Oryctolagus cuniculus: one gene and its partners. The protein of the gene in region 3 interacts with the protein of the main gene of each other region in a pairwise test. Links are inferred from orthologs where the notes say so. Each region holds a gene or a part of one and is shown on either strand. Other genes may lie near its edges.

The links.
Region 1: the proteins of MID2 (region 3) and GEM interact in binary tests that used the Homo sapiens proteins (3 or more experiments, as listed by UniProt). The link is inferred for Oryctolagus cuniculus from reciprocal best matches to the Homo sapiens genes MID2 and GEM.
Region 2: the proteins of MID2 (region 3) and UNC45A interact in binary tests that used the Homo sapiens proteins (3 or more experiments, as listed by UniProt). The two-hybrid records come from large-scale screens. The link is inferred for Oryctolagus cuniculus from reciprocal best matches to the Homo sapiens genes MID2 and UNC45A.
Region 4: the proteins of MID2 (region 3) and UTP25 interact in binary tests that used the Homo sapiens proteins (3 or more experiments, as listed by UniProt). The link is inferred for Oryctolagus cuniculus from reciprocal best matches to the Homo sapiens genes MID2 and UTP25.
Region 5: the proteins of MID2 (region 3) and CCDC42 interact in binary tests that used the Homo sapiens proteins (3 or more experiments, as listed by UniProt). The two-hybrid records come from large-scale screens. The link is inferred for Oryctolagus cuniculus from reciprocal best matches to the Homo sapiens genes MID2 and CCDC42.
Region 6: the proteins of MID2 (region 3) and CEP57L1 interact in binary tests that used the Homo sapiens proteins (3 or more experiments, as listed by UniProt). The two-hybrid records come from large-scale screens. The link is inferred for Oryctolagus cuniculus from reciprocal best matches to the Homo sapiens genes MID2 and CEP57L1.
Region 7: the proteins of MID2 (region 3) and LGALS8 interact in binary tests that used the Homo sapiens proteins (3 or more experiments, as listed by UniProt). The two-hybrid records come from large-scale screens. The link is inferred for Oryctolagus cuniculus from reciprocal best matches to the Homo sapiens genes MID2 and LGALS8.

What each region holds. Positions count from the first base shown.
Region 1 is NC_091437.1:119,690,938-119,695,079, forward strand, and holds the start of GEM (GTP-binding protein GEM), read right to left. Parts: upstream 2,801-4,142; 5' UTR 2,533-2,800; coding exon 2,464-2,532; intron 2,416-2,463; exon of another isoform or gene 2,189-2,415; intron 1,980-2,188; exon of another isoform or gene 1,787-1,979; coding exon of another isoform or gene 1,751-1,786; intron 1,563-1,750; coding exon 1,223-1,562; intron 1-1,222. UniProt on the Homo sapiens protein: Could be a regulatory protein, possibly participating in receptor-mediated signal transduction at the plasma membrane. Has guanine nucleotide-binding activity but undetectable intrinsic GTPase activity.
Region 2 is NC_091443.1:100,330,543-100,334,631, reverse strand, and holds the start of UNC45A (protein unc-45 homolog A), read left to right. Parts: upstream 1-1,289; 5' UTR 1,290-1,411; coding exon 1,412-1,417; intron 1,418-1,626; coding exon 1,627-1,788; intron 1,789-1,928; coding exon 1,929-1,965; intron 1,966-2,181; coding exon of another isoform or gene 2,182-2,251; coding exon 2,252-2,427; intron 2,428-4,089. Other genes in the region: protein shisa-like-1, read left to right, coding at 252-357, 480-690, 1,051-1,213.
Region 3 is NC_091453.1:85,394,603-85,398,102, forward strand, and holds part of MID2 (probable E3 ubiquitin-protein ligase MID2), read right to left. Parts: intron 749-3,500; coding exon 621-748; intron 1-620. UniProt on the Homo sapiens protein: E3 ubiquitin ligase that plays a role in microtubule stabilization. Mediates the 'Lys-48'-linked polyubiquitination of LRRK2 to drive its localization to microtubules and its proteasomal degradation in neurons.
Region 4 is NC_091444.1:24,691,583-24,695,082, reverse strand, and holds part of UTP25 (U3 small nucleolar RNA-associated protein 25 homolog), read right to left. Parts: intron 2,284-3,500; coding exon 1,873-2,283; intron 1-1,872. UniProt on the Homo sapiens protein: Component of the ribosomal small subunit processome for the biogenesis of ribosomes, functions in pre-ribosomal RNA (pre-rRNA) processing. Essential for embryonic development in part through the regulation of p53 pathway.
Region 5 is NC_091448.1:53,156,063-53,159,094, forward strand, and holds part of CCDC42 (coiled-coil domain-containing protein 42), read right to left. Parts: intron 2,961-3,032; coding exon 2,739-2,960; intron 2,632-2,738; coding exon 2,473-2,631; intron 1-2,472. UniProt on the Homo sapiens protein: Essential for male fertility. Required for sperm development.
Region 6 is NC_091436.1:62,255,630-62,259,129, forward strand, and holds part of CEP57L1 (centrosomal protein CEP57L1), read right to left. Parts: intron 484-3,500; coding exon 406-483; intron 295-405; coding exon 50-294; intron 1-49. UniProt on the Homo sapiens protein: Centrosomal protein which may be required for microtubule attachment to centrosomes.
Region 7 is NC_091444.1:61,238,307-61,242,270, forward strand, and holds the start of LGALS8 (galectin-8), read right to left. Parts: upstream 2,801-3,964; 5' UTR 2,444-2,800; intron 962-2,443; 5' UTR 852-961; coding exon 810-851; intron 416-809; exon of another isoform or gene 194-415; coding exon of another isoform or gene 176-193; intron 1-175.

The DNA of each region.
Region 1 (4,142 bases), on a different chromosome or scaffold from region 3:
CCCCGGCATTGGTTCCTTCCTCTCTTCCAGCGAGAGTCACCCTCCAGCCCCTATGAAGAGAAGATCAATGCTACAACGTCCCCTTGCCTCTTGCTAAGCTGTAGTCCCTGAGATTTCGGAAGGGAGGAGGGAAATCAATGTTAACGTCCATGAGTCATCATTAATAGCCCAGTTCCTGAGCTGCCTCGGGCAGCCGTGGCCTCCCCGACCCTGCCACCGTCAAGAAGAATAAATCCCTTGGATGAAGCGGCTGCCGGTAGTGAGGAGTAGGCTTTGTGTGCATCACACAGAGGGGGCGGGAACTGAGTCATCACTAAGGTACCTTCCCACTCGGCAGGTCTGTGATTCAGGCTGAGTCGCAGCTGAGAGTATGGACAGAACACGTGAGTTGGGCAAGCACTGGACAGTTCTTCCTTTATTTCCACAGCAGCCAATTACCCTGGCCACACATGCTAAGACTGAAGCCGTGGCTGAATGACACTGTATGGATACCACTGGTCATGCGGATCTGCCTATCACTTCCCCGAACACAGGACTGTGGCTGACCTGCCACAGAGGAATACGTGTGCTCGTGATCAGTATAGGAAATAAGCAGGCCTTCTCTAAACATTTTAAATGAGATTACATGAGAAATCTTGTCTTGAAAAGCTGTAAGGCTCTATAGAAAATATGTATCAACATTGTGTACTTTAAATTTGTAACAAATTCTTATACCATTTCAAATATATATATATATATACACACACATATATATATTGAACTCTTTATCTGTACCCTTGAACGGCTCTAATATTGATGGAAACTAGTGAATTCTTGCAGTTTTTCAAATGCTGGGTTCCCTGGTATAACCCAGGGAAAGGCAGCATCTATCCCAAACTCAGGTAATAAGCTCTAGGTCAGAGTCGCCTAAGCCAGAAGTGGGATCCAGACCCCTACTCTCTGCCCTCTTCATCAGCCCACCCCCCCACCCACCCACCACCCCTTCAGACCTGGAATCTAAGACACTCCCTGCTGGCCCAGGTTCAGCAGATATGGGACCTGTCTTGGAGCAGTTCCATTTTCTTGTGCCAAGCTGGACCAAGGCTTTTCTGGGCACCCAGCTCCCTCACCCAGCGTGAAGAATGCACAGCCGCAGCTCAGCTCTCCAACAACCCACCACTCTTGCTCTTTCAGCCTGGACCACCGCTTGATGGATGGAAGCCCACCGAGGTGCACTACCTACCTCCCAGCACCTCGCAGTCGCTGTCCATGCTGTCATGCACGCCCGCAAAGATGTTGGCCAGAGTGGACTTGCCCACTCCCTGCCCCCCGATGAGCACCACCCGGTAGTAGGTGTTCCCCGACTCCGAGGAGATGACGGAGTCCGTGGAGTCGGAGGACCAGCTCCGGCGGCAGTGGTCGTCCGGGGCGGCAGCGGGGCGGTGGCGGTGGCTGTACTGGTGGGGCTCTTTCTGGATCATCAGATGCCTGCCGTCAGCCGGGATGCTCCAGCGCTGCTGCTGGGGCTGCATGCCCACGGTGCTCTGGCGCAAGGTGACATTGTTCAGAGTCATCGTCGGGTCCTAGGGAGCAGAGCAGCCAAGAAGCCAGCATTAGCAAGCATGAGCGAGAGTCAGGGGCGGTCGTCAGTGACGTGGTGACGACCAAGTATCCTAACATCAGTGCACCAGTGAAACAGTCCCCAAACCCCAAGCAGCCAGGCCCTCGCCGGGACACACACCCCACACCATTTGCACAGATTAAAAAGTACCATTAACATGGCCCATTGCCCGTGGGTTTCCTCCATCCTTGGGGACTCCTGTGATCCCCACTCAGAGCTGGCTCAGAGGCAACCAGAGAGAGCCGACAACCTCCCAAGAAGGCTTGAAAAGCAACAAGTTAATGTTGCTGGAGACCAGCTGGCCAGGTTGGGTGCTCTTGTCTAAACAAGGCTCTTACTGCACCAGCGGACAGCGGGCGTTTGTGCCTCGGTGGGAAACACGTGGCCATGACATCACTCTCCCCAACCCCCAACCCCCTACCCCCTACCACCCCCCCACCGTGCGACTGGACAGGCACTTATGGGAACTTCCATGTTTAGTCAAGACGCCCTGATGCTCTCCAGCTGCCTGGACAGACCGTTAGCGGGGGGCAGGGGGATTCTGGAGGGTTACAGTCACCTCCCCTCACCCCACCCCGGGCTCCTCACCCACGTTGGGGAATGACCTGCTCACGTCCAGACCTATCCACTGGCAGAGGAGGCACCTCGCTCTGAGCAAACCACATCCCTCCCGCAGGGTTCTTCGACTCAGACATCTGGAAGCCAATCAGAAGGCCAGAGCCCCTCCTACAACTTTCCCTTCGCAAGACTGCCTCTCCGCACACTCCGCGGCCACCAGAGATGGAGTACAAAAAGGTCGTGGAAAACGGAATCCAAATTGCTAAGTTTATTTGGCTGCAAACAATTGTGCAATCCGTGCATACCGATGGCAGCCCTTGCATTTCCATCAGCGAGATCCGGCCGGTGCGAGTGAGAAAGAACTGGACAAACATTCTGTTCCCCAGCCTCACCCCCAAACTCCGCGCCCCAACACCTCGCCCACTACCTGGCCGGCGATTTTTAACCCAAACGACAAGAGCAGGAGGTGTCCTGAGGACTACCCTCTGTCGGTACGGAACTGTAGGAGGCGGCGAGCCTCCCCCTGAGGCAATCAAGGGGACAGAAGCGACAACCCCTGCACCTGAGGCTCTGCGCCCCCTTCTGCCCCGTCCGCCCACTCCCACAGAAAACCACAGCTCGACTGAGCACCCCAAGGGCTCCCTTCCCAACTTGAAAAGTTGCGCCCGCGGGGGTCACGCCCACTCCCTGCCCGCTAGGGGCCGCGGCTCCCGGGAGCCCCTCACGCAGCGCGCCCCTTACTTGGCACGGCCGGGGCCGGCGGTCCGCGTGGGTATGCGCACACACGCGCACGCGCGTCACTCCGCAGGGGGATCCGGGCAGCCGAGCGCGTTGCTGCTGCACGGTGGCCGCCGTCCGAGCCGCCGCCTGCGGCCGCCGCGGCCCCGCGGTTTATAGCGAGCGCCGCTGGCCCGCGACCGGGCTTTTCCGTGACGTCAGCGTCCCCGCCGGGAGGGGGCGGCTCTGCAGCAAACTCCGGAGTGGCAAGCGGCTTGGCCGAAGCGGTTACTCGCAGTCACGTGAGCCCGCTCCCCCTTTTAAAAGAAAACAATGACAGTTCAATCCTGGGCCTCTTTTGTTTTATTTTATTTTTACCAGGTGCACATAGGAAAATGGAAAAATACATGGAGTGCTGTTTAATCGCCCTTCCCAGCAGAGCACTTGCGAGCTGTCGGGATAAAGGATGGGTCTTAGTGGCGAGCCCAACTCTGCCTCCCCAAAACAAAACACAAGGCCCAGGCCAGTGTTGGTGGGGACGTTAGCCCCCTGCGTGGGGGCCGCAGCCACCTGGAATGACCAGGGCTTGGTGCAGCTGCATTGTCTGCAAGGAACACGGGCTCAGCCTGCCTCCAGTCACCTTCTCTCCCGGCGGCCAAGGGAGGGAGGAGGGCGCCCCACTCGGTTTTATTTCCCTCCTTTGGCAGGGACCCAGCGAGAAGGGGCCAGAGAGAGGTGAGGAAGGAGACCTTGCAAAGGGCAGTTTCGAAAAATAACTTAATTAGAGAACCACGCAGATTGTGCTAAATATTGCCGGTCCTTGAGCCCTGGGCCAGAATGCTGGGGCTTCTCTATCAGGGAATTTAATCAGCATCCCGATCAGCAGCCTCATTGGCAGAGCTGCGGAGCCCCAGGCCTGGAGCCAGAGTGTTGGGACCAGCACTCAGCCCGAGTCCCTTGAGAGCCGCCTGGGAATCAAGCATGCAGGATTATGGGAACCACCACCCCTATCATTTACCAAGTCCCTCCCAGGACCTGTACTTAATAGGTCCTGTTAGGCCTCCAGGAGCCTCAGTGTTTAGCACAGTGCAACTAGGTGCTGATTCTCACATTGCTACTTCATTCTACAGAGGAGGAAAGGGACAGGTGACCAGAGAACCTGCCCAAGGTCACACAGCTTCTACAGGTGGCGAGGTGGGGATCCAAACCCTGGGCTGCCTGACTCTTTGCTGGACACAACCAGGTAACGCGTTCCAGTGACCTCTTC
Region 2 (4,089 bases), on a different chromosome or scaffold from region 3:
CCCCACTTCTCGCTCACCCTCCATTCCGGGCCGGTCCCCCTTGCGCCCAGAAAACCTCAGGCGCGAATTCCACCGAGAGACACAAACCCGGTCCCTTTCATCTCTCTCCAGAAGCCTGGGACAGGGCAGCTCCAGCAGGGTTGTGGGCCCACGGCCTGGCGGCTTTGATCTTGTATTCTGTCTGCAACCGCGGCCACGCCGAGGAGATGCTGGGGTTCCTAGCACCAGGGCGGAGGCCGAGGTGACCTCTCATGGGCTTCCAGAAAAGGGGGCCCGGCCCCTCGCCCACAGGCCTGTGGGTGGGGCTACTGCTGCTCCTGGGTCCGGGGTCCCGTGCTCGGCCCACCTCTCTCTCAGGTACTGCGCTTCCCGGGCGTTTTGCGGGCTGCTGGGGGCGGAGGGGAGGAGAAGGGAGCCTGCTTTTCTGGCGTGGGCAGGCCCCTCCCGCTGGCCTCCAGCCCCCGTGCCTCTCTCCTCAGCTTTGGCCCACCACCCCCACTTGTGCCAGACCAGCCCGGACGCCGACGGCCGCCTCCACCGGGGTTTCTTCTGCCCTCGGCTCTCCGACGCCCCGGAGGAGGCCTACTGCTGCCACCTGCGGGCTGCCGAGGGCTCCTGCTGCACGCGGGCAGAATTCGAGGCCCTACACCGAGTCAACCTGTCCGCCCTTCCGCCCCCGCCCATCCTCAGGTGCGGACCCCAACCCGGAGCCACCGACCAGGGGTTCTAGGATCCGGGGCTCTGTTCCCAGGTTCCGGGGTGGAGTGGGGTGGCGAGTTTGCAGTTTGCGGATTAGCGCGGGGACAATGAGCGAAGTCCCGTCAATCATGACACACACTTCTGCAATGGAAAAGTGCCGGGGGCTGCGGGAAGTGGGCACCCACCCTGAGTCAAGGGGTGTGTCGTGAGGCAGAGGGGGTCGGGGCGGCTCAGAAGGGCCTGTCGCGCGTGGATTACACCCAGGATGCCAGTGTCCATCCAAATGTGTGCGCCAATGAGTACGTGAAGATCTACATTTCTCTGCTGCTAACACTCTCTCCTCTCCCATAGGGGCCCGGGCCCGCTCCTAGCGCTGGGCCTCTACAGCCTGCTGCTGGTGGCCCTAATGACCACAGACCTGGTGCACTTCTGCCGTGGCCGGAGCCCGCGCCGGGGCCGCCGCGCACCTCCCTCTAGGTCCTCGGCGGCTCGCCCCCTACGGGTCTCCGCGTGAACACGCAAGGCACGCCTGGGGCCCTCTCTGCGCCTGCGCACGGAGAGCCCCGCCCCGCCTGGGCAGCACGTCCTCTCCGTGGCTCCGCCCCTTCCCTGACACAGCGCTGGGCGGGGCCTCTCGCGACGGCTTCCGGAGCCTAGACACACCCCCGCCCCAGAGACTGCGGCTGCGCGGGGAAGGGACATCGGCTCTGCGATGACTGTGAGTGGTCCAGGCACCCCCACCCCGAGCCCCGGCCCGCCGTCCCGGGGTACGAGGCTCTTCCCGCACCTCCGCGCCCCTTCCCTGACCATACCCTGGCCACCGCCTCCCGCGTTCCTGGCTCTGCACGGCGCTCGCCCGCGGGCCGCGCTCCCCGCTCCCTCTCCCCCGAGCCCACCGCGACGCGGCCCGCCGCCCCCTCCCCACAGGCCAGCTCGGCGGAGCAGCTGCGGAAGCAGGGCAACGAGCTGTTCAAATGCGGAGACTACGAGGGCGCCCTGGCGGCCTACACCCAGGCCCTGGGTCTGGGCGCGACGCCGCAGGACCAGGCCGTCCTGCACCGGAACCTGGCCGCCTGCCACCTCAGGCTGGTGAGGAGCCCCAGCCTGGCCACCCCGCTTTGTCACATGTCTGGGGGGCCGCGGAATGGATGGGAGGGGCGTGGGTGACTGCCACGCGGCCGGTCCCCGGGAGGGGGGGACCCTCCGCTCAGGCACCTGCTCTCTCACAGGAGGACTATGACAAAGCCGAAGCCGAGGCATCGAAAGGTAGGCGAGCGCCGGCTCGTGACACGGGCGACAATCCTGGGGCCACTGCATCACCACCGCGTCTGCTGCTGTGACCCCCTAGCTCGCCTGCCTCCTCCCTTCGCACTTGCTGGGGCCTGCCCTTTTCACAGCTACCTGTACCTTGTCTGGGGCTGGAGTACCGAGCCCCACCTCTGTCTCCCACCCCCACCCCCACCCCTTCCTCTGGCCCTCCAGAGCTTTCTCTCCTGCTCTCGCCCGGACACGGTGGCCTCACGGGTGCTGACAAGCTCCTGTTTGTGCTCAGCCATCGAAAAGGACGGCGGGGACATCAAAGCGCTCTACCGGCGGAGCCAAGCCCTGGAGAAGCTGGGCCGCCTGGACCAGGCCGTGCTGGACCTGCAGAGATGCGTGAGCCTGGAGCCCAAGAACAGAATCTTCCAGGAGGCCCTGCGGAACATCGCGGGCCAGATCCAGGAGAAGGTATGGGGGATCCGGGCACCGAGCGGTGGTGCCGGGTGGTGGTGCGGGGGTAGGCACAGCTCCCTGGGTGTGGGCGCGCAGGATGGTGCCCGGCGAAGAGCAAACTACAGGTGCAGCCTGGTGCTGGTAGTTGTCACCGCTTAAGTGGTGAGATTGGGGGGCAGGGCTCGTGTGACTGCTGGCGGGGGTGGAAATTGGTACAACGTCTGGAAGTGTTAAATGCTCATAATCTGTAATCTACTATATTTACCCCCCCCTTTGGTACGTTTTATTTATTTATTTATTTATTTGAAAGGCAGAGTGACAGAGAAGGGGAGAGATGGAGAGAGAACGCTTCCATCTGCTGGTTCACGCCCTAAATGCCCGCAACAGCTGGGGTTGGGCCAGGCTGAAGCCAGGAGCCCCGAACTCCAGCCAGGTCTCCCACGGGAGTTCAGGGACCCTAGCACTTGGGCTGGCTGCCGCTGCCTCCCCAGGCGTGAGTGTTAGCAGGAAGCTGGATTGGAAGCAGACTAGACAAGACAGACCAGGCACTCTGATATGGATGTGGGTGTCTAAGCTGCAGCTTCACCTGCCCACCACAGACACCTACCCCAGTGTGTTCACTTCTTGCTGTTTTCCCTGGAGCAGGGGCGAGGGAACCTTTTGTCTGCCAAGGGCCGTTTGGATCTGTCCACCGTCATTATGGGCCATAGAAAATGATGGACTTAAAAAGCAGCCTGCTGTAGTTTGCGGAATTTTGAGTCTCTTCGGTGGTTGCCTTGGCCAGAACAAATGATTTCGCAGCCTTATATGGCTCAGACACTGAACGTTCCCCACCCCTGCCCTAGAGAGGCCTTGCCTGCGTGCACGAGTTTGTACGCGTGTGTTTATTGCAGCCTTGTTTCTAGTAAGGAAAACTTGGAACTCGCCTAAATGCCTGGCAGGAGGGGAATGGCTAAATACCAGGGTGATGTCGTCACTGCAGACTCCCGTGTTGTGGTTACTCAGAACAGGCGGATCGGAGGCAATGGGAGAGCCGGCCAATGAGGAAAGACTGCTCAGTAACACACAGTGTGTTAAAATGGTCCCCCACACCGAAAACTGCTTTACCCTGGGGGGTGGGCGTCCAAAGGAAAGGACGAGTATATCAAAATGGTAACACTGTGACCTCTGGGGAAGGAAGGGGAGTGAGTGGAGTCCCTGCGTCATCCCTTAACTGTTTTAAATTTGAGAGGCAGAGATGGGTTCCTGTCTGCTGGTTCACTCCCCAAGTGCCCACAACAGCCAGAGGTAGACCAGGCTGAAGTGGGAGTCTAGGTCCCCCACGTGGGTGGTGGTGAGCCAGTTATTTGAGTGGTTACCAGTGTCTGGCAGGAAGCTGGAATTGGGAGCGGAGCCAGGACTTGATAAGGGCCCAGGTGTACTGAGGACAAATGCCTGCCCGTCAGTATTTCTCAAAGAAGGAACGGTGTGTGGTACACGTGTTTCAAAGCTAGTGGAAACAGAATCTAACGATCGCCATGAGCTACCGCCAAGCCTGTGTCAAGCAGCTACTTTGGTGTTAAAGTGGGCGTTGGTGCTAGCAGTTAAGAGGCAGCTTGGATGCCTGCGTCCCGTATTGGAGTGCCTGGGTGCACACCCCAGCTCCACTCCTGTTTTTGGCTTCCTGCTAACGCGCAT
Region 3 (3,500 bases):
AAAATTAATATAACAGTGTCTGGCATAAACTAGGTGTTTCATATAGGATAACTATGTTAATAAATTAATAAAATAGCTACAAACATAAAATTATTATGTGTAGTTTTCCTCAGTAAGTGATCATTATGTAATTCTGAAGGTAGTCACCTTTTTTGTAAACAGACTAGTTGCATCCTTCATTTCCCAACATTGTCTTCAAGGCAGATATTTCTTACCTTTTTTTTTTCTAAGCTAATTTCTAAGTTTCCTTAAAACCCTATAGGTAGTACCTATACCATGTGGGGCATTCTGTAATAGTCCCTCACTGTCACCTGACTGCCCTCTTAGAGCAAGAATGGCACATTACTGATAGACTCATATGGAGAAATTCATCAGCAATTTCTGTGGCTTACTCTTAAGTATGAATAGTATAATCTTTCTAATCCTAGAAATAGTGGATGACTCATCGTTTTCTTCTGATACATGAACTAAAATGTACTCTATCTAAAATGGTAATTATATCATCTTAAAGATTATAAGAACATTTTATTATAAATATTATCCATTTCATGTTATTTCAAAGTAAAAGTACACCAAAAAGAAATAAGCAAAATAGGAAGGAAAGCATAGTATTTTCACACCTGTTAAATAGTCTAGCCCCTCCAGCAGTTTCTTTTCTCTGGAAAAATCTAAAGCAAAGTTTTCAAAGGCATCATTAAAATTGATGTCTGGAATCAGAACTTGAGAAGATGCAGTTGCCATAGCAACCCTGAAAAAGAAAAAAAAGAATACATCAATATACATCAAAATAAGTTTGCACCTTCATCCTGTGTTTGATTTCTAGTTTAACAAGGTGAAAAGAAATGACTTGCAAGACTTGATTCACTAAGTGAAAATATCATATTTGTGCTTTTCTAATGGAACAATCTAGATTTTAACCGTAAGGAACCAATTAAGAATTATACCATATTTGTTCACATATGTTCACCCCTCAAACACACCCCTCCATCCTGTCTTAATTTTAAGAAGTAAATACAGGATTTTTTCCCCTCTGCATCATTTTCCATCTGGCAGGCAGCATCAAAACTAGACCTCTGAAGGCTTGGGAAGAGCAGTTTGAATGTTTTTTTCTCCCAGTTTGAGTGATTTTTTTCTCCCTCTCTATTTTTTATGCTAATCAATGAGCTAGCATGCTGGATTAACACCTTCCTCTAAATACTATCCTTGATTTGATCACTCATTTTATATATATATATATATATTTCATTTTATTATTCTTTAACTGTACAATGCTATCATAATTTTCTCTCCTCCAACTAATTCTAAGAGTCTCAAGAGCAATGGTCGTATTTCCTATGTCTTATGTCTTCCATGATCCCTAACACAGTATTGAACATATAGTGAATAAGTAAATGTTGAATGAATAACTGCATGACTACCAATAACAACATAACTTCTATCATTTAATGAGTGTTTAGTATATACAAGGTACTGTGGATGCACTTTACATAATTATCTACTTTTTTTAAAAGATTTATTTCTTTATTTAAAAGGCAGAGTTAAAAGAGAGTCAGAGGCAGAGAGAGGTCTTCCATCTGCAGGTTTACTCCCCAGATGGCCACAACAGCTGGAGCTGAGCCAATCTGAAGCCAGAAGCCTCTTCTGGGTCCCACACGTGGGTACAGGGGCCCAAGCACTTGGGCCATCTTCTATTGTTTCCCCAGGAGCATTAGCAGAGAGCTGGATTGTAAGTGAGTGGCCGGGATGCGAACCGGTGCCCATATGGGATGCTGGCACTGCAGATGGTGGCTTTACCTGCTATGCCACAGCGCCGGCCACACATTATCTATTTTACCCCTTACCACAACCCTGTATATTAGACATTATTTCCATTTTTGCAAATGAAAAAGTAGACACATTAAAAGGCTAAATAAATTTCCCAAGATCACAAAACTATTAAGGATAAGAAATATAATTGAAACCATGTCCATCTAATTCTAAACTCTATATATTCAATCAATTACACTGCTCCTTTTTTTAAAAAAATGAGATGTATTTTACATAGTTCAGCCATTCCTCAACATGGTTACATATCAAAATTATCTGGAAGAGCTTTTACTAAAATATACGTGTTTAAGTCCTATGCCACATCTTCTGAATCAGTCAGTGAAGATCCCTGAGAATTCAAATAATAGGATGAAAAGAAAGATCAACTTGGCGACAATATGCAAGTTAGAATGGAAGGAAGAAGCACTGAATGAGGAAGACTAGAGAGGGAACTTTCCTGGTAACCTAGTTGTGAGGATGAAGAGTTGAAAAATACATGTGATCAAGTATGTAAACCCTGCCACACATCTACAAACAATATCTCTTGGCTACTTCTGAAAATAGAGATGTTTCAGGAATAAACTGCAAGCCAATATAAATAAGTGAAAGACAATCTCAGTATAATCTTCAGGCCTCATTTTGAATAGCCAGTCTTCTAGGATTTGGCAAGTAAGGAGACAATGAATGACCTCTTTAGGGAAATAGTCAAGCCAGAAAGTTGGCTCATAAAATTTCTTCCAGACCTCCCTAATCTTTTTTTTCATCCATCCATCCATCCAACCATCCATCCATCTATCCCTCTATTCATTCAATATTTATTTAGGACAACTAATAAGATAGGCCTTGTGCTAGGAACTGGAAATAAACAGGGAGAACCAATTTGTTGTGGTGCTTGCCTTCATAGCCCTTGCCCTCACAGCGCTCACAGTTCACAGACATTAAACAGGCAATGTAAATGCTGCTGTAGAGGGAGTAGAGCATACCCAAGAGTCAGCCGGCAGGGACTTGGGAGCTAAGGGAAATCCAAGAGGAAGTTAATGTTAAGCAATAACCTACACAATGAGTAGGAGTTAACCAAGCAAAGACTGTGTGAGTGTGTGAGTGTGTGTGTGTGTGTGTGTGTGTGTGTGTGTCCTTTCTTGGCTGGAGGCTGGAGAACGAGACAAAGTCATAAGGGCCTTGTAGTGCAAACGGCAAACTTTGCATTTTATCCTAAAAGCAGTGGAGCCACTGGAGATTAAGTAGAGAAGTGACATGTTTATGATATATTCATGTTCTAAGAAGGGTACCACAGCTGAAGTGGATGGACTGGAAAGGGTCAAAACTGCAGTTAGGCACACCGGAGTTTAAGGTGTCTAGGAAGGAGCAGAAAGGAAATTGGTAACAGGAGTGCAGACGAAATGAAAAGAGTTAAATCACAAAATATGTAAACAAGTGGTCAAAAAACATATTAAAAAGTCCAACTACATGATAAATCAAAGAACTATTAAAAACAATGAGATGACATTTAGATTACACATAATAATCATATAGAAGCTTTTAATACCTATATTAAATAATACCTACATTTTTTAGGATAAAAATGGTATACATTTTGGAGGCCCATTTAATGTTAAATATAAAAACAGCTTAAAGATAATTATCTTGTATGATCCCATAGTTCTACTTTATAACATTTTTACTAAGGAGCTCAT
Region 4 (3,500 bases), on a different chromosome or scaffold from region 3:
TAGAAGCTGAGCAACTTCTGTCTCCACAGAACCACGTCCTGAGCACTCTGGCCCCACAGCTCGGTGGGAAAAATTTCTCAAGTAGAATATGGAAATGCCTTTAGGATAAGCAAAAGCCTAGAACAGACAAGTCTGACAGCAAAATCTCAAGAATGTAAACACACAAACTCTTTGAGGGCAAGGAGTGCTAACTTGTTTGTCTCCCACAGAACTTTGCACAATATTCTTACCCACAAGACCCACTGGAGTAAGTATATGCTCAGTAAATAAATGGAATAAATGAGAAATAAAACAGGTAAGAAAAAGGATGAACACGGTGCTATTTTCCTACTACATTCCCCAATGCATTTTTCAGAAACAACAGTAAGGCATTTCTGAAATAAAATCATAATCAACAGGAAAAACAGGACTCGGTCTTCCAAGCATTTCCAAAAATGCTTAAAAATGACCGTTGAGAACAAAAACAGAAGATGCTTGATAAATGGTTCATTTCAACCACTCTCTCGTAAATAACATAATCAGTGAACACAAGCCCCGTCAAATCATGCAATTCACCAAACTAAAATGTGCTTCATAGGTAATCTGTTTAGTTCTCTACACAATTCTAAGTGGAAACAAACGTGTGATACTGAAGTTCAAGACTCTGAGGCAGCTCCCCAGAAAGGCAATAAGCATTTACTGGAGCAGAAACTCAGCCTGAAATAATGGGGACAGCAGACAGAGATTTAAAAGACAGAGTTACTGTCCCAGCTGAGACACTAAAGAAGTGTCTGGGCCTTGGTTTCCACAGCTATCACACAATGGGAGAACAAATCTCTTAACAGCCACTTCAGTATAAAAATTCTAGAATTCTATTAAACTTGAATGAAGAATCTACAAATATAAGACTTCTTGGGAGCTGGCGCCGCGGCTCACTAGGCTAATCCTCCGCCTTGTGGTGCCGGCACACCGGGTTCTAGTCCCAGTCGGGGCGCCGGATTCTGTCCCGGTTTCCCCTCTTCCAGGCCAGCTCTCTGCTGTGGCCAGGGAGTGCAGTGGAGGATGGCCCAAGTGCTTGGGCCCTGCACCCCATGGGAGACCAGGATAAGTACCTGGCTCCTGCCATCGGATCAGCGCGGTGCGCCAGCCGCAGGGCACCGGCCGCAGCGGCCATTGGAGGGTGAACCAACGGCAAAGGAAGACCTTTCTCTCTGTCTCTCTCTCTCACTGTCCACTCTGCCTGTCAAAAAAAAAAAAAAAAAAAAGACTTCATGGAAAGATCAAGCTGAAGGAGATTGGAATGACAAGACCTAGCTTTGCAAGGTTATACAAAATGTAGACAGAACAAAAGTCATTTTCTTTCCTATTAAAGACTTAAATCCACTGGAGTTTCAACTTGTGTAATCCCTACTTAAACAGCAACAGAGTGGCAAACAGGGATTGCTATTTTCATGTCTCAGCAAAGAAAATTCTCAGTTCTGGTCCCTTCTCTGCTACTTTTTGGTTCTCTTTAGCAAGGTTGTCTTTGAATTTGGGTCTCTACTCACAGCTGTGATACACAGGGATAAAGAGCTCATTACCGTCCCATTCAACACTGACAACCGCAAAGAAGAGATTTACAGCAGACGGCTGCCACCTATCTGTGTTTACCTTTTAGGAGAGCACGAACTACTTTTCTCAAGTGTCCAGCTAGCTCCACTGTCAGAAACAGCCCACTGGGCAGTCTGCTGCACTGTTCTGACAGTAACTTGGCCCACTCCAAAGTACTCACATCTGGGTTCATCATTCCAGTCAATTCGTAAAACACTGGAGCACCTGCTTAGTGCCAGGCACCTACACAGCAGGGCCTTGCAACCCCTTTCCTGCAGGAGCAGCTTTCCTGCTGCCACTCACCTTGGGCCTCGTTAGCCCCTGGTCCCTGAAGTCATCGTCATCACCCACCCCAAATTTCTGGCTTCGGCGTCTGCTGTTGTTGCCAAGCACCTGGGCGTTGGCTTTGAGGACGTGATTCAGCACGTGCAGGCAGTACACGTGGCGGATCTCCTCTCCATTCTTCAAGGCAGACCTTTCTGGGTAGAACAGGTCCCGGTAAGAATTCATAATTAAGAAGAGCTCTTTCTGGAGGGGGGTGAAAACACTACTTGATTTTTGGGGGCCGGTTAGGAACTGGCTGTTGGTCTTGGGCCAGGTGGATTCCAGGGGCTTCTGGAGATGCAGTGACTTCAGGTCAATATCCTTTGGGGGTTTAAATGTTTCCAACTTCTGAAACTTGGATGAAAAGACAAGCTGGCCCAGGATGGGCCACTAGGAGGGAGAGAAAGAGAGAGAGACACCAAGAGCTAAGTTAGAAATGAATTACAAGACCTTAAACTCACATACCTTATCAAGAACTTTCATGATTTATACATATCTCACTCAACCCTTACAACCCTGCAAGGTGGATACCATAATACTCACAATATAGTTCAGGAAAAGCTGAGGTTCTCACAAACTTGTATGATCCAGACAAAGTTTACATAGGGGCAGGTAACTAGCCTTCCAGTTAAGATACTGGTTAAGACATCTGTACCCCATAAAGGAGTACCTGGTCAGGCTTCCTGCTATTGCAGACCCTGAGAGAGAGCAGTGATGGTTCAAGTAACTGGGCTCCTACCACCCCTGTGAGACATAGATAGAGTCCCCGGATCTCAGCTTTGACCTTGGCCCAGCTAGGCTATTGCAGGCATTTGGGGAGTAAACCAGTGGATTGGAGTGCTGTCTCTTTGCCTTTCAAATAAACAATTTTCAAAAAACAGTTTACACAGGAAGGAATGGAGTCGAGGGCAAGAATCTAAAGAATTCATGGTTTCTGACTTCAAATATAAGCTCTTTGCTCCATTGGTGCTCCCCAAGATGTTTTGCAAAATATAATCTGAGGAAGAGTAAAAATTCTTTCTAGAAAAAAAGGAACTCCACACTCAGATAACTCTGGGTTCACAATGTATACTGTAGACTAATAATTCTGGCAAGTCCCATAAGAACTCTGTCCACTTTGTTGAACCCAGAGTTTTACAAATTTATTTGAACATGAGAAAAAAATTTTATTTTTAGAATCCTAGAGAATATTTTGTGGGAAATGAGTTTGGAAATTTTTGCGTTGTAGCAAAATTTGCTAATCTCAAAATAGGATGACCTCAGCAAGTACAGAAAAACAAACTAGTCATTGGTAAAACTATATGAATAAATCCCCAAGCAATTATGCTATATGAAAAAAAGTCAATCTCAAAAGATTATATACTGTAAAATTTTATTTAACATTTTGAAATGATAAAACTATAGAAATGGAGACATTAGTGGTTTCTAGGAGTTATGAATGAGGTGGGGGAGCATAGAAGGAAGCGACTGTGGCTGTAGAAGGGCGCAGGGACTTGCCTATCTGGTGCTGGACATGTTTCACACCTTGATGGGTAGTGGTGGCAGAGACAGGGAGCTACACAGCTGACCAAACCATACCAGAGCTCCAAGCGCTAGCTTCCAATTCC
Region 5 (3,032 bases), on a different chromosome or scaffold from region 3:
CCCCTGGAGTCCAGGAACCCACAGTCTTCCTTTCCCTCCCTTATCTTGACCTCTGATTTTAACATATCCTTTTTAAAAATTAATTTATTTAATTGAAGGGCAGAGTTACAGAGAGAGAGAGAGAATCTTTCATCTGCTTGTTCACTCCTCAGTGCCGCAATAGCTGGAGCTGGGCCAATCTCAAGCCAGGAGCCAGGAGCTTCATCTGGGTCCCCCATGAGAGTGTAGAGGCCCAAGCACTTGGGCCACCTCCTGCTGCTTTCACAGGCCATTAGCAGGGAGCTGGACTGGAAGTGGAGCAGCCGGGACTCGAACCAGCGCCCATATGGGATGCCGATGCTGCAGACAATGGCTTAACTGCTGTGGCACAGTGCCGGCTTAACATAAACTTTTCTTTCCCAGGTTTTTAACTTTCGATTTTTTCAGACAACCGGATCTAGCTGGTTCATAGCTGATGGGAATGAAGTGGCACATTTTAAGATAACCTTGAGGCAAAATGAAATATTCCTGTAGAGGCAAATCAGGGCTGAGAAGGATGCAGAAAGCTCAAGATTTGGAGTGGGGGCAGGGGGGAGGAGGAGGGAGGACTGGAAGTTACAGGAGACAGGGAGATGGGGGAGGGGACAGCTACAGGGAGGTAACCCAGGGACCCCAGGGAATCCTCCAGGAGTTCTGGTCTGTGACGCCCAAACTTTTCTCATGAGAACACTGAAGCGTCACTTACATGTTTTGCTCTTCCTGTCTCAGGCGCACACCAGTGGCATGCACCAGGGTGGGTGACACGTGCTGTCACAACAGCACGGCACAGAAGCCTGCATGAGAGCCTCCCTGTCCTCTACAAAGACGCTAGAGGGACATGCCACAGTGTCCACCATGTCATCCTTTGCACAAAATAGTTTTCAAAACTTTTTTTTTTTTTTGACAGGCAGAGTGGACAGTGAGAGAGAGAGAGACAGAGAGAAAGGTCTTCCTTTGCCGTTGGTTCACCCTCCAATGGCCGCCACGGCCGGCGTGCTGTGGCAGGTGCACCACGCTGATCCGAAGGCAGGTGCTTCTCCTGGTCTCCCATGGGGTGCAGGGCCCAAGGACTTGGGCCATCCTCCACTGCACTCCCTGGCCACAGCAGAGAGCTGGCCTGGAAGAGGGGCAACCGGGACAGAAGCCGGCACCCCGACCGGGACTAGAACCTGGTGTGCCAGCGCCACTAGGCGGAGGATTAGCCTATTGAGCCGTGGCACCGGCCAAAACTTTTTAACAACAACAAAAAATGCCATTTATATTAACATGTTTGTTATCTTCATTTTAAAATGAATTAAACACATATTTAAAGGTTTTATGTTCCTAACCTGTAGGAAGAAAAGCTCTCTGGAGTGTGGATAAACTTTGTTTTTCTCTATTTTTTAAAAAGGTTTATTTATTGGGGAGGCAGAGTTACAGAGAGGGAAAGACATGGAGAGATCTTCCATCCGCAAATTGTGAGAGTGCGAAGGGATCCTGAGAATCACTACTTCCAGAACAAACTGTGGAAGGCCATCCCAGGGCACTTGGCCGGGTCCCCTAAGCTGAAGGGGATATCAGCTCCCCAGCTCCGCCCAAAATGCAAATAACCCTCCTGGGAAAACCTCTTGTACCATAGAAAACTCACCGAAACTGAGGAAACACTGCACTTACAAGTGAGATTCTTGGCTTGCAGTCCATGTTGAAGTGGACATCCTTGGCTGCGCAGCCCGCTGCTCCACTGCACCCACATGGTAACAGTCACCCTCAGCTAGAAGGAACTGCTGTCACAGGTGCACCCCTCAGCCAGCAGTTCCTACCTGCTGTGCTAGTCTGCTGAACTACCCCATCTCTGCTTATTCCATCTGCTCTGAATTCCCTACATGCAATCCCAACCATCCAATGCACTTCCTGTGGTGGGGTCTTTCTTGTGAGTGCCCTAAGTGTTCCCTAGCACTTGTTCCAGGAGTTTTCCTTCCCATCCTTTATATTCCCTGAGTGTCACTAAAATTAGGGGGAATGCTTCTCAGTGGGTCAGTTTTATTAATTGTGCTTCATATTCATTTGCCAACCCTGCGCCCAGCCTTGTTGTAGGCACTGGAGGACACAGAGCTACCAGGTTCCCTGTGCTGGGGTGGGCCCTGTGGCTCAGCAGGTTAGGCCGCTGCACTGCGCTGGATGCCGGTATCCTGCACCAGAGTCGGGGCTGGAATCCTGGCTCCTCCACTTCCGACCTGGCTTCCTGCTAATGCACCCACGTGGCAGACCTGCACAGCGATCCTGGCTCCCGGCTTTGGCCTGGCCCAGCCCTTTCTCACTCTCTGGCACTCTGCCTTCCAAATAAGTAAATCTTAAACAAAATTACATATGAGGGCACTTCATAATGTTCTCAGGAAAAATGGAAAGAAAAGGTACGTTTAAGAGGATGCAAAGCAGTTTTTGCATAGCGTGGCCCGTGCCTGCGCGTCCCCCTACCATGTCCAGCTGTTTGTGCGTGTCCTCCAGGGACACGTGGGCCGTGTCCTTCAGCTGCTTGCTCACGATCTGGAAGAGGTTCAGCGTGGCCATCTTAATGGTGCCAAGCAAGAGGGTCTTCTTGGCGGCGGTGTTCTGGATGTGTGCCCAGCGAGACTCCTGCGGAAGCCATACGGGTGGGCGGGACCGGAGGCGCTCAGCGGCACCGCCCGCCCGAAGCCAGCCCCTCTGCCGCCCCCGGGCCGGGCCGGGCCGGGCCGGCTCACCCAGATAATGACGTCGCTGCGCGCGCGGTCGAAGCGCATCTGCAGCCGCGCCAGGTCGTTGTTGTGTTGCAGGATCTCGTCGTCCTTCTCCTCCATGTAGCGCGCCAGCCGCGCCTTGGCGCGCTCTATGCTCTCCTGGCCCTCCTGCGCCGACTGCAAGAGGTCGTGGTGCATGCTCACCAGCGTCTTGTAGCGCGCGATCACCTCGTGGATCTCTTCGAACTGCGGCCGGGGAGTGGGGGCTAGGGGTCACTGCCCTGCCAGCCCTTCCAGGGCCTCACCCCACCCATGCCC
Region 6 (3,500 bases), on a different chromosome or scaffold from region 3:
GCATCTAAATCACTTACTGGTTCTCCTGACAGAGAATAAAAATACTTACACACTCATTTGGTCCAGCTCATCTTGCATTGCCATCAAAAGTTCAGACAAATTGTCACAAAAGGAATCAGACTTTTCTGAGTCAGAAGGGACAGCTTTACACCATGAGGTTTTTCTAGTAGGCCTGCACAAACACCTATGCTCAGTGACTTCAGAAGGTTTCTGTAGGATCCGTGGCCCAGATCGTCGCGTTGTTTGCAGAAGGTTTTGCATACTTGCATTCACAGAACTGCCTGCACTGGCAGACTTAAGGGAAAAAGAAATAGCTGAGAATTTTAAATGAATGGTGCTATTTAAATAGTACTTACAATAAAGCAGGCATTTTTTTGAACAATTATCTTCATGTTTTCCTCTTACCCTTTCAGTCTCAAAAGGCAGTGCTCCACACTTTGAATAAACTGGCTGAGGTGGCCCTCTCTTCAAACATTTATTTGTCTAAAGATTGACAGGGGAAAAAGTAAACAAAATTATTTTAAAAGATATTTATGATACGACAAACTCTCAAAACTCAACAGTCAACAAACTGTGCAATTTGAAAATGGGCAAAAGAAATGCAAACATTTCACTGAAGAAGACACAGAGGTGGAAAAATGAACACGAAAAGATACCTTTTAGGGAAAACATGTTAAATCACAATGCAGAGGTGGGGTATTGTAGCAAAGTGGTTTAAGCTGCTGATTGGAATGCCTGCTTCTATTTTTGGAGTGCTGATTGAGTCCTGGTTCCTCCAATTCTGAGGCAGCTCCCTGCCAATGCAGCTTGGGAGGCTGTAGATGATGGATCAAGTGCTTGGTTCCTGCCACCCTGTATGGGAGACCCAGGTAGAGTTCTGAACTCTGGCTTTAGCCCTGAAGACCCTGGCTGTTGTGGGCATTTGGTGAACAACTGGATGGAAGATCTCTCTGTCTGTCTGTCTGTCTGTCTCTGTCTCTCTTTCTGTCTCTCTCTCTCTCTCCCCACACCCCCTCTTTCCCTCTCAGTCTTTCTAGTAGATGAAAATAAACTTCAAAAACATCTAATGTAATATCACTGCATAACTATGAGAAGACCCAAAACAGAAAACAGTGATGACACCAAGTGTTGGTAAGGATGCAGACAACCTGGATCACTCATACACTGTCGCTGGGAACACAAGATGGTACAGCATTGGAAGAGTTCTGGAGGACAGTTTGGCAATTTCTTATAAAACTAAACATTTCCTTATCACATGACCCAACAACTAACTGTACCTTTGGCCATTTATCCCAAAGAAATGAAAACTTAGTTAACACAAAAATCCATATAAAATTTCACAGCAGTTTTGTTTGTAAGAACCAGAAAGGTAAATGGTAAAATCTGTAACATGGACTACCATGCAGAAATAAAAGGAATATACAGATACATGTAACAACTTGGATGATCTCATGGGAAAAAAGCCAAGCCTAAAAGCTTATATACTGTATAATTGCATTTATCTAACATTCTTGAAATAACAAAATGATAGAGATGGTGAACAGATTAGTGACTGCCAGGGTCAGGAAGGGGGACATGTTGTATACAGGGATTGTATAAAGGAACCTTACAGCAGTGGGAGAGTTTTGTATCTTGATTGTTATAATGCTTACATGAATCAACATGTGATAAAACTCTAAAAGTCTCACTGCTATTAGTTACCATCTAGAAGTACAGCTCTGATCCTGTGTCTACTCATCTCAGAAACCTTCAATAGTTCCCAACTACATACAGAATAAAAGTTCAGTTTTTTAACATGGCACTGAAGGGCTGCCACAGTCTCACTCTAAGTCATGTTTTCTTTCATTCATTCAGTTGAAAGGCACACAAAAGTTGGGGGCAGGGACAGACCTTCTAACTGCTGGTTCACTTTCCAAATGCACTTAACAACCACGAGCCAGGAACTCAATCTAGGTCTCCTGCATGGGTAACAGGGACCCAAGTATTTGAGCTATCACCTGGTGCCTCCTAGGGTCCACATTAGTAGGAAGCTGGAGTCAAAAGTTGAGTTAGCATTCTAACAGGGGATGCAGGCATCCCAAGTGGCATCTTAACCACTATGGCAAATGCTCACCTCTACATTTTCAACTTTAACTCTTACTATGATCCCACTACTGTACTTTCACGTCTGGGTCTCTGGAAAAACCAACAGTTTCCTCAGGTTTTACAGGTTGAGAACCTTTATCCAAAATGCTGGGGACCTGGAGCTGGTGCTTTGGCATTCCATATGCAATCCGATTAGAGTCCCAGCTGCTTCACTATTGATCCAGCTCTCTGCTGTGGCCTGGGAAAGCACTAGAGGGTGGCCCAAGTTCTTGGGCCCCTGCACCCATGTGGGAAACCTGGAAGAAGCTCATCAATCCCAGTTTTGGATTGGTGCAGGTCCAGCTGTTACAGCCATCTGGGGAGTTAAACCAGTGGATGGAAGATCTCTCTCTCTCTCTCTAACTCTTTCAAATAAATAAATAAATTTTTGAAAAAAATGTTTTAAAAATGCTGAGGACCAAATGTTTCGCATTTCAGAATTTTTTTTCAGAATATACATACTTTTAAAAATATTTTTTATTTTAAAAATGATGTATTTATTTATTTGAAAGGCAGAGTTACAAAGAGGCAAAGAGAGAAAGCAACAGAGAGAGAGAGAGAGAGAGAGAGATCGTGAGAGAGCGAGAGAGAGAGAGAGGTCTTCCATCTGCTGGTCCATTCCCCAGATGACTGCAACATATGGGATGCCCATATGGGACACCGGCATTGCAGGTGGCTGCTTTTTACCTGCTACGCCATAGTGCCAGTCCTGGAATATACATACTTGAATACATACATAAGGTATCTTGGCAATGAGACTCAAGTTAAACGCAGGATTTGTTTCATATATATCTCATCTACACAGCCTGAAGGTAAGTTTTATACAGTGCTTTTAGTGCACCTGCATTTTGACTGTGACCTGTCACATGAGGGATTTTCCAGTTAGGGCATGTCAGTACTCAAAGTTCTGGACTTGGGAGCATTGTGGATCTGGGATTATCAGATCAGAGAAGTTCACCTTGTACTGCATTTCCCATTATCTCACTCCATCAATCCCTTTTATTCTCCAAGGCTGACTTCAATGCTGCTTCTTTCATCACCCTTAACATATTCCTTAATCTATAAAATACTGCCACTTTAAATTTCATTATATTTTGTCTTATATTTGTATATTTATTTTTTATAAATTCCAGAATTATTTAGATCATCTAGAGATACCAGTGTAAGTACATTTGGATGTATGAATAGGAATGGGCGGTTGGCTTTGTAGATAAGATGCCAGTGTCCCACACCTGAGTGTTGAGGTTTGAGACTGACTCTGCTTCTGATTTCAGCTTCCTGCCAATGCACACTCTGGAAGGTAGCAGATGATGATTCAAATACTTGGGTCTCTGCTACCCACATGGGAGACCTGGGCTGAGCTCCCAATTTCCAGC
Region 7 (3,964 bases), on a different chromosome or scaffold from region 3:
CACCTCTCTGTAACTCTGCCTTTCAAATAAATAAATCTTTTTTAAAATAATATATACAGGGATTTTAATCTATAAGATTATTCTTAAATAACATTGAAATAAAGCATCTTGTGTGTGTGAAGGGCAAAAGCGAACGCATAACCCATAACCCATCCAGCTTGAGCCAAGTACACACCTCAGCCCCTCTTAGCATCAGCCTGTTTTTGGTTTTGTTTTCCGATCTTTGCAGGAAGTCAGTCCACAACTACCCCCACAAAAGCATTTTAAGTGTTTCACTGGCTTCAGATTCTGTGACACTTCCTTTTTCAACCTACTACTGCTGAAGGGTCTTCTGAAACCGAGCTTTTGCTTGATCCAGTTTTTGCACTTTATTCTTGCACAATGACGTTCATACTTAGGGGGAAAACAACTGCAGCTACAAAATAAACAACAAAAGCCTGAGTCCATGCACTTTAATCGGCGCTTGCTTTGAGGCCTCTCACCCTGTATATTGGCCAATGACTTCCTAGGGGGGTTGTTGAGAAAGCAAGTGTCCAAATTCATGATTCAGCTGCAGGTAAGTGGAGACCAGATACTGCTGAAGACTCTCACCACCACCTGGCACTATAGCAAGCTTTTTATTGCCCAGATGTTCATTACAAATTTTCAGCAACTACAGTCATTCAGGGGCTGTTGGACCAGCATGGACTGGACAAGACCCTTACTTCTCCTTCTCCTTCTCCTCGCCACTGAATACTGACATTACTGTTCAGTTGGATTTGCTATCAATCGTCCCAGCAGTAAAGAGTGAGTTTACAGAAATCAGTTACCGGGTTATAGATGACATTCTGTAGGTTGTTTAAGGACAACATCGTTCTTCTTCGACCTGTTGATTTTGTTGATTGCAGTTTTCTGTGTATGAACTAAGATGGCAAGCAAATTTCACTTAAAGGTCACCCAGACTGAAACTGAGGCACTTGCCCTATGTAAAAATAAAAATGCAGGGAAATAAAAATAAGCATGTATTTTTTCATATCGTAACTATTTATAAATGTAATGTTATTTACTGATATTTGCCAAAGAGTAAGATGTTATTACATTCAAAGAACTGAACCCATTCTTACTAGTACACTTAAATACTAAATAATTTGAGTATAAGCACAAAAAAATTTTGGTAAATATCAGTAGAAAACTTCTAACATGGAATTTATTATTAAAAATTCTGCAAACAATATAATGGTAAATACAACCATCAGAGGTACTCATTTTTTTTTCTTGTCCATAAAATGGGAATAATATTCATACTGAAGATGAAATGAGTTAACAAAACCGCAGAACAGCATGTGCTGTGTGTGAGTTATTACTATGAGTAGAAGGAACATTCTTTCTACTCCAAACTAAACAAGTCATAAGGAGGGATAAAAAAGAACAACCCTTTGAATACAAAGAAGATCCAGTTTTTTTCTGTTGTGAAAAAAGTGTGTGGGGACATTTGCCATATCTTTAAAGACAACTGTGCTCATTAGCACTACATTCATTATCTCCACGGAAGAGTAGATGGTTATAAACAGAACGAAAGGAGAAACGAAACTAACTTCCTAGCTCTCACTTGCAGCTGTTGTCATTATTGCGATACAGTAACAGGACAATACCCATTGCCCAAACCTTTTTTTTTTTTTTAATCGGCATCTGTCTGGGTTTACCCACGCACGATAGTCAAAACCCCGAAAACTTTCATTCAGCTCCGTGAAACTCAGGAAGCACGGAGAGCAGAAAGGATGGATACAGTCACCAGAGCCACATACATAATTCACATAATCAGAGAGTGGCAAAATTTAAGCCGCAGGCTTGCATTAGACCCGTCGTTCCTCCCGAAATAATCACAAGGCCACAGATCCTGCCATCACACACAATTCCTCTGCTTCACGACAAGCCACAGACGATCAGAGGCAGAGGACTCGCGGGTTGACCGTTCACCACGGCGGTCCAGTGACTCGGCATCTTAAAAGACCGACCGAATTCACAGAGCCGAGGGGGCCGCGGGGAGCAACGCGGGTCTGACTCCAAACTGTTCAAGGACCGGTCATCCAGAACACGGGGAAGGAAACTCCCCGGCTTCCTTCTCTCGGAGGTGGCGCTCGGCCTGGGGCTGGCAGGGAGCAGGTGAGACAGCAGCCTAGGTACAGCAGGTTTGAGGCAGGCGACAGCCGATGCACACAGCCCGCTCCCAGCCAGGGCTGCCAGGAAGAACCGGGGCTCCCTATAACCCCCTCGCTCGCTCCCCGCCAGCCAGCCCCGGCTCCGCCGCGGTGAGGATCCGGCGACAGGGTGGACCGGACCCTGTCCCACTTATCAGACTGCTTTAGGGACAGCGACGAATTCCTCCTCGGCTGAAGCGACCACCGCGGCAGCCACACCCCCTGGCGACTGTCACCCCCCAGAGGCGGACGGACTCCCGACTTACCCAGGACTGGTGGTGGTGTAGGCGCTCCACGTAGCCGACAGTTTGTCCGCCGCAGGGTGCCGTCGGGATTCCCAGCTCCCGGAGGCCCAGGGCTACGGGCAGTGAGAGGAGTCAATCCACATACATTTCTCGTTTCGCCTTCCTTGATCCCTGTTGTCAGCCCAGTGTCCGGGTCCCGGGTGTCCTCCCCAACTCTGAGGACTTCTGGCTGGGAGCTCGGCCTCCTGCACAGCTTCTGGGAACTTGAATGGTGACAGGCTTGCTGTGGAAGGAGCAGAAAGGAACTAGGACGAAGGATTTGTCTTTAGCAACTTCCTGAGTGCATCTGGCTTCCTCTGGGAGGGAAGTGGGAAGGTAGGAGGGCTACTTTTGAATGGCTGACTGCTTAGTGTTTTATATAAGGGATCTCTATATTTAGTCTCTTCTTGGCTTCTAACCACCTGTGTTTTCAAAGACATAGTGTTACAATGAGCTTCCTCCTTTTGTTGTTAATATTTTTAAATTTAAGGTGAAGAATTCATTGCAAGTCCCAGAGCAGCAACTCATATTCTGGTTCACCAGTGTTTTCTTACTTCCTATCCATTTTCCACTTCTGATTCATTCCTCAAGATCCAACTTAAATAGTTTAACTCTAGATATGCATTGCATTACCTCAGATTTGCTACCTGTGAGGTGTGAGTTTTATCCATCCAACTTGATTGTACATTGAGCAAAGAAGCTTGTCTTATACATTCTCCAGTGCCCTGTGTGATGCTTTATTTGAAATGTACACCAAAAAATTAGGTTGAAATGTTAGGTAATTGGTAAGTGAGGAGCAATTGAGTGTCCTGACAATTTTGCCTGGGTTTGTCTAGTACTTCTTTGCAAGGTCAAAATAAGTTAAATACAAATCATTGCTGTTTCTTTATTAAGCTAAGTGGTGTTTAGGTATAAATGGGACTGAGTCAAAGTGCCAGAAACCCAGTATTAGCAAAGTATTTCTGGTTTTAATCACACATAAATGCTAAGAACCTATTCCTAGAAATACCTTCCTCATTTGTCACTTTGTGCAGTGAGCCTAGTGTGTTTTCATTTAAGACACACAAGCACATATTGAATGTGCTGACAAGGCACGGTGATAAGGAATACATAAAGACATCCCGGGACTTTCTAGATTGAAAGCTCCACATCTTACTAGATTACCAAAATAGTTTCCTAATTGATCTTCCTGGTTTTGTACTTGCTCTGCTGAAATCTACTCTGAATACAATGGCTACAGAGAGGATGATCACCACAAAATGTAGTTCAGACAATGTTAACCCTCTCCTAGGACTTTCTACTAACTTATGCTCATCCTTTGAGTAAAGGTGAGTCTTTACAGGAGCACTTCACAATACACCCTTCATCCCCACATACCGCAACTTCCTTTTCTGCTTCCTCTTCACTCTGAAGCAACCACACTGCCCCACAGCTATCCCCACAGCATGCTTGTCACACTCCCACCTCAGAACCTCGGTGCTCCACGCTTCCTTTGGTTCTCTT